Mus musculus: one gene and its partner. The protein of the gene in region 1 purifies or fractionates together with the protein of each later gene. This does not show direct contact. Links are inferred from orthologs where the notes say so. Each region holds a gene or a part of one and is shown on either strand. Other genes may lie near its edges.

Region 1 (3,649 bases):
GGAGAGAACCACAAGGGGGAGAAGGTGAAGAGAGGAAGAAGGTGCCGTGGGTTAGTAAATCAGGAAATAATGGCCACGTTGGTTGGCTAATTGGAGTTAAGAGCAGCCCAGATGAAACATGGCAAATTATATAGTAGGATTATTGGCTGGGAAATAGACAAAATAGCATAGAGGATAGCTATCTTCCCAGCTCTTGTGCTGTTTAAGGCTTAACGTAAATATAAAGGTTGAGTGTCTTTTATCTGGGAACCAAATGATCACAGGCAGGGTAGAAACCCCGGAATGGGACAAAACATTTCTATAACTTCTTACTTGTTAAAAATAAGCCAAGTGAAGTTAAGAGAAACAGATAACTCATCCAGAGTTACAAACTTATGTTTCATAAGCCTGGTTACCTCAATGAGAGCCTGGCTGGCCTCCTCACTCAGTCGGGGCATGATGGTACTATGGGCATATGCAATGTAGTCTTTCAGCACGGCCATGTCCAGGAACTCCTCCTCCACTTGCTCCTCACTTTGGTAGTACAATGAAACCAGGTGATGAGCTAGACGCCGGTCATATGCCTCATCCTGAGGGTCTAGCATGAGGAAAATGAGATCAAACCTGACAAGAGAAAAATACCATCTTCTTAGTTGAGACACTAAAACGTACCTACATATAGGACTTAAAAGGTGTTAAAGCGGGGCTGGTGAGATGGCTCAGTGGGTAAGAGCACCCGACTGCTCTTCCAAAGGTCAGGAGTTCAAATCCCAGCAACCACATGGTGGCTCACAACCATCCGTAACAAGATCTGACTCCCTCTTCTGGAGTGTCTGAAGACAGCTACAGTGTACTTACATATAATAAATAAATAAATCTTTAAAAAAAAAAAAAAAAAAAAAAAAAAGGTGTTAAAGCCAACTGTACTGTACATATTCCCACAGAAAGCTGCCATTTCTCCAGCTGACCAGTCCCTAGTCCTGCCTAGGTAAGAGCAAAGTAAAAAAGTTATAACTCTCTTCTGAGAAATGGATACAATATACAATTGGATATTGTATTTGGATAAAAACTCCTTCTACTGTTTTGAGGACATAGGAAGGTACTTCAGTGATAGAGCCCTTGCCTAACACATGGGAGGCCTTTCATTAAATCTCTAGTACCACAAGAAACAAAGCAAATTTATTAGTCAAATAATTAAGACACATAAATCTTGCCAATGAGGCCCGACAAACCAAATCTGAGTCAGTGTTTAATGTCAGTATAGAGACTAATAGCAGTTGTCGACCGCTTCTCAATCTCCAGGTGTCAATTCTAAGAATAAGCAAACAGAAGCATTTATTATATAAAAATGTTTTAGTACCTTGACAACAATGTGTGCGGTAGTTGGATATTTTCAATGGTTGTTTTTTTAGGATTCCACTGAGACTCAATAGGATTTGCTGCTGCCAGGACAGAGGTGCGCGCATTGAGCTGACAGATGATCCCAGCCTATCAGAGGAAGAAGTAGAGTTAAAAGCCTTTTCCTGACTCCCATGAGGAGGAAAACCATCTTCATCTGACATTTGCTCTGCTGGTTCTGCTTTCCAAGAGTCTCACTGACTTCAGTGCATAATGATAGTACTCTGCGCTCAGATTCACGTCTAAGATTGAGCTTAGACATAATTATTCTGCAGCCACATTTTTAGTTTAAATTATTTTATGTACTGGGTGTTTTGCCTGAACGCCTGTTTGTGTATTACATGTGTGCCTGGTAATCTTAAGAGTTCAGAAGAGGGCACTGGATCCTTTGGAACTGCAGTTACCGAAGACAGATGGTTGTGAGCCACATGTGGGTGCTAGGAATCAAATCCAGGTTTTCAGGCTAAGCAGCAACTGCTCTCAACCACTGAGCCATCCCTCCAGCCACATTTTTCAAATCAGAAAGCAAACTGGTAGTAACTTTAACACAAACTCAGGTTTGTAAGCACTACATATTACAGAGTAAAAGCAACTAACGTAAGAAGTTTCAAAATAGAACTGTAACTGCAAACTGTTGTGAGCCTGCAGCCACAGTGGACATCAGCACTCACCTTTGCAATGGACAGAGTCTGCTGTTCCATGACCTCATGCAGCACAGACCTTGTGCTTTCATTCATTTTGTCAAACTCATCGATGCAGCATATCCCATTGTCACTCAGGACGAGGGCACCTGTCTGGAGGACAAGCTGCCTGGTCTCAGGGTCTTTCATCACATAGGCGGTGAGGCCGACCGCACTGGAGCCTTTTCCAGACGTGTACTGGCCTCTGGGGACCAGGTTGTACACATACTGTAGCAGCTGGGACTTGCTGGTGCCAGGGTCCCCACACAGAAGGATGTTGATCTCAGCACGGAATTTACCCCTCCCAGTGTGACTGAAATCCTTCCTTGTTCCACCAAAGAGCTGAAGTAAGATTCCCTAAATAAACAAATAAATACATCTAAACAGTCATTTGTTGTACTGTATATGCTTAGCTTATGTTCTAGAGGTACTTTTCTTTTCTTTTTTCGAGACAGGGTTTCTCTGTGTAGCCCTGGCTGTCCTGGAACTCACTTTGTAGACCAGGCTGGCCTCGAACTCAGAAATCCGCCTGCCTCTGCCTCCCGAGCGCTGGGATTAAAGGTGTGCACCACCACGCCCGGCTGGTACTTTTCTATTTTATAAGTTCAAAGTATTACCAAAAATCATCTAAGAGTGCTCAGGCCATTCTACATATTCCTAACCATTATAAACCTAAGTAAATATTGTCCTACAACTTGACCAGCATGAATCCTTGTTGTGACCCCACATAACCTCCAATGTTTAGGAACATGAATATGCACAGCACAGATAAGTGTATATACAACAAAACAGTAGCACTCAACTATTAACCAAGGCAGGGGTCAGTGCCTTGCTATGTTAAGGCGAACAGTTCCTACCCATAGAAGACAGTAACAGTGGCAAATATATCTTAGTTACTTGATTCTAAGTAACTGTAAATCTCAATACCAAGCTAAAAAGTCCATTGTTACCTTTTTGATATCTTCATGTTCATAAATGCTGGGAGCCAAGGCTGAAGCAAGCCGCTCATAAATATCTGGCTTCCTGGAAAGTTCCTTAAGCAATTTCACACGTTTCTCTGAAAAAAGTTTCTGTTCTGCTTCTTCATCAAGGCCATGCAGACGTTTTGCATCCGTTTTCCGATAATGAATGACATCAATGTGGGTTTTATAGACAGACTTCACGTTGCTCACTCTTGGATTAACTCGAATTGGTACTGCTCGATATATGCCTAAGAACATATGTAGGAGACATGACGTTACCTCTCTACTTCTCTGTAAGCTCAGTCGACAGCGAAGGTCAGACCTGGGGGCTCCATCTCACTTGAGCACCCCACTACCTTTTAATCTCCCAGGCTAAGGCCCCCGTTAAGAAAGTCAAGATACAGAAGAAATAGTCAAGGAGCAAAGAAACACAGGTTTTTAAGAACAGACCCAAAATCATATTTGTAACCATCTGTGTTGTATGAGCTTAGGGAATTATCTGCATAACTACTCTACACAATTGTAGGTTCAAAGTGAAAAACAAAAAGGCTGTGTCATGACAGTATTTAATATAGTAATGTGACTTCCCTAAGTTAAAAGTAAAAAGAATCTACTTAGTAATCAGCATGG
Region 2 (3,749 bases), on another chromosome or scaffold:
AACTTCAACTTTACAGCTTCTTAATCTAACTTTTATTCCAATGTCTGGGATCCACACATGATCTTTTGGGGATCCTCTAAAGGGCTGGCATCACTTCTCCAGCTCTGCCCTCTGAAGCACTCTAGGCTCTGCTTGACTCCAGCCAACTGCTGCTGCTGTTCCTGGTTATCATCTTATCGTACTGGCATCTCCAATACACTGGGGTCTACCACTGCAACTAGGCTTCACCAAGAGCCTCTCATAGGCTCTCTTCATGGGGCAAGCCTCAACTCCTTTGCATGACCCCTTCAGTCCTGGGCCATCAACTGTAACTGTAACTGCACCTTCACCAATGGCCTTCCCTGGCCTCTCACGGTGCCAAGCCTCAGCTGCTCTTCATGACACCTTCATGCCTTCAAACTAATACTGCCTGGGTAACTCTTACACACTGCCAAGTACAGCTGCAGCAACAACCATGGCTATCTCTGGAACACAGCTTCTTTGTGCTCTCAGAAAACACTTCCCAGAAGATTTCACCTCAGTGATGCTGGTCTCGTCTTAATCACTAATTTCTTAGCTCCAGCTAACCAGCATCAACTGTCCCAGCAATCCCTTCTACTCTAGACTCTAAAGCCAGAGCCACACAGCCAAATTCTGCTTCCTGTGGCTGGAACCTGATCCCCTTTATTATCTTACCAGCTTTCTGTTTTTCAACTCCCTCACTGCCTAAGCTTGGCTATCCTGAAACTTGCTCAGGAAATTGACTTTGAACTCAGAGATCTGCATGGCTTTGTCTCTTGGGATTAAAGATATGTACCACTACGCCTGAATTATGCTTTTCTTCATCTAGAACTTGCTCTGTCCCAGGCTGGCCTTGAACTCAGATCTGCTTCGTTTTTTGTCTCCTGGAATTAAAGGTGTTAGCACCATGTCCTGGACTCTGTAAGGAGGGATGCAGAGGAGGTGGTGCTGAACCAAAAAATGGGGCTAAAGGTGTAGTAAGTGGGACTCTATGGCATCTTCAAAATGCCAGGCCAAACAGGAAAGAAACAGGGGCGAGGGGTGGGGCGCTGAGGGGGCGAGGAACCGGCCAGAGTCAGGAGGGAAGTTCAGAGTCAGAGGATGTGGAATGGCTTACCTGTCTCCGGCGTCGCAGCCTCAGCTCTGTGTCTGTCTGGCTCACAGAACTTCCTCCAGAGCGTCTGAGGCTCCGAGAATGCCTCGCAACTCTAAGTTGGGAGCCCAGGCCGCTGCCTTGGCAACGGCGTACCGCGCCACGGAGCAGGCGGGGCGGGGCTGGAAGTGCGAAACGGCGAGAGGGCGGGACCGGAAGTGCTCCCGCGGCTTCTCTCTCTGGGTCGCCGCCATCTTGTCATTGAGTTGGATACTTCGTGTGGTGATCTTTAATCTTGTCGTCGCACCGGTTGTCGCCACCGAGGTGGACTGGCAGCCCTGAGCGTCGCAGTCATGCAGGCCGGACCCGTGCAGGCGGTACCCCCGCCGCCGCCAGTAGCCACTGAGTCCAAACAGGTATCGTGCCCCGCGCTCCCTGCCTGCAGGCCTGCTGGAGGCCTCGTTCCTCCCCTCCGCGCGGGCGCTGTGGCACTGCTGCTGGAAGCTCAGGCCACCCCGAAGGACATGGAGGGACTGCAAGTCCCAGGAGTCAGCGCGCTGAGTTGCCTTCTGGTCTCGAAAAAGATATCCCTAGAACCGGACTTTTCAAAACCAGCATGCGGACCTGCACCCCCGGCTTCCTCTGGGGTCTTATGTGAACCACGAAGCCTCCATTCAAAAAGAGGAGAGCTAAGCAAATCATTCTTTCCCCTAGATTAGGAATGGCTGCGTAAATACAGTATGGCTAAGGAAACTTGCCCTGTTTTGTTTTTAACTGCGTCCTCGGATGCTAACCCAAGAGAGTCTGCAGTCTACAGGACAGACGTTCCTGTCAGTATCATGGAGCGTTTATGATAGCCTAATCCGAGCCGGGGACTTGAAGCCCTTACTACCTTTTCTCTGTTTTCACAGCCAATTGAAGAAGAAGCATCGTCAAAGGAGGATCCCACCCCTTCCAAGCCAGTGGTCGGCATTATTTACCCTCCCCCGGAGGTCAGGAACATCGTCGACAAGACTGCCAGTTTTGTGGCCAGGTAACAGCTGCTTCTGCACAGAGGGAACTTGTAGTATAAAGGTCTTTTAAAGCAGCACAGGGGCATCATGGGGAGTTCTAGAGGCTCTGGCTTAGACTCCTTACTTCTTCCAAAACCACAGGAGAGCAATGAGGTAGGTGATAGATAGGACTGGTATGGTTGACATACCACAACAGTAATCGCAGTGAAAGCCATGCCTAGCTGTGTAGTCACTAGGAGTTTCTGCTTCCAAAACAAGTCTGTGGAAATTCCTGGTAGCTTCTTTGTGGCTGCTGATGTGCATATGCTGTGTTAACCTGAAGAAAGAAAAAGAAGAGTTGATTATTCTCATTGTGAAAGGACGACTTTCCCAGAGCCTCAGCTGAATCCAGAGCAAGCTGTTCAGCATGTTAGCTAGTTTCCAGGCAAGGTGAACATTGGTCAGGATTCCTCAACCTCCTCATCCCACATACTTCTGCACCCTTGGATGGAATCTTCTAAGGGCCACTTGACTTCCAACGGTCAACACATCTCCTGGCTTAGGGCACTTATAGAGTATTCTTTTGGCAGCCAGCATCATTATCCAGTCTGCAGATGTTTAGTTTGTCCTTAGAATCCTTAAAAGAGAAAAATCCTATTACCACACTTAGAAATGAGGTGATTTCACAGTCAGTCTGAATTTCTGGCTTTTCCTGAACCAGGCTGCTTCTTACATGGCAGAGCTTCTTGGCCTTGAAGTGTGTACAGGACGTGTGTTGTCCAGGACCCACACTTTGTCACTCCCTTTAGCGAGCATCCCTACCACCTTGAATCATTTAATACTGTTTTGTTCCCACCTTCCTAATGAAGTGACACATCAAAAGAGATTCTGATTGGTAAATTGTACTGTGCACACCGTGAGAGTTCAGATCACTTTGCAGACTTTAATTAATTTGGATTTTCACTGAAAAGATGCCTCACGATAGGGCATTGAGTGTTGTGTGTGATTGGCTAATATTTAATAATAACCCTAATGCCTTCCCCCCTCTCTCCTGTGATGCTAATAATTGGGGAAAGGCTGTTGCATAATGAAGAAGAGCAATCTTACTGTGAGGACAACCCCTGTCAGCTGTTGTCACCATTAGCTGTTTCCTTCTGACCATGGCATCCTTTTTAGATACAGTAATAGCAACACAAGTACTGTCATGTCTTGATTTTCTTTGCATGCTAAATTGGAAACATTTCCTAATTTTTAGTTTCCCTCATGCTGCATGCTTTCTATGGAAAGGTTGCAGTGTCCAGGCTATGTGTTTTCTTTTGAGACGGTTTCCAGTGTTTCCACTTGGTCAGTGAAGCTGTAAGAGGAGTTTGCACACTGTCTTTCCCTTATAGAAGGCTTCTTCTTTTTTGTTGTTGTTGTTGTGTTTGTTTGTTTGTTTGTTTGTTTTTCAAGACAGGGTTTCTCTGTGTAGCCCTGGCTGTCCTGGAACTCATTCTATAGACCAGGCTGGCCTCGAACTCAGAAATCCGCCTGCCTCTGCCTCCTGAGTGCTGGGATTAAAGGCGTGTGCCACCATGCCCGGCTAGAAGTTTTCTTTAGAAGGAACTCTGTGTGAAACAGTAACGGCTAAGAGAGCATTGAAAGCTTCAGGGATTGGGGAGACA

Evidence for each region. Proteins that work in one complex are often made in the same cells at the same time.
Region 2: the proteins of Mcm4 (region 1) and Sf3a1 fractionate together in Homo sapiens (co-fractionation; 3 studies listed by BioGRID, with this or other methods). This does not show direct contact. The link is inferred for Mus musculus from reciprocal best matches to the Homo sapiens genes MCM4 and SF3A1.

What each region holds. Positions count from the first base shown.
Region 1 is NC_000082.6:15,627,254-15,630,902, forward strand, and holds part of Mcm4 (DNA replication licensing factor MCM4), read right to left. Parts: intron 3,268-3,649; coding exon 3,008-3,267; intron 2,415-3,007; coding exon 2,049-2,414; intron 1,468-2,048; coding exon 1,340-1,467; intron 604-1,339; coding exon 396-603; intron 1-395. UniProt on the Homo sapiens protein: Acts as a component of the MCM2-7 complex (MCM complex) which is the replicative helicase essential for 'once per cell cycle' DNA replication initiation and elongation in eukaryotic cells.
Region 2 is NC_000077.6:4,159,042-4,162,790, forward strand, and holds the start of Sf3a1 (splicing factor 3A subunit 1), read left to right. Parts: upstream 1-1,312; 5' UTR 1,313-1,446; coding exon 1,447-1,509; intron 1,510-2,004; coding exon 2,005-2,126; intron 2,127-3,749. UniProt on the Homo sapiens protein: Component of the 17S U2 SnRNP complex of the spliceosome, a large ribonucleoprotein complex that removes introns from transcribed pre-mRNAs.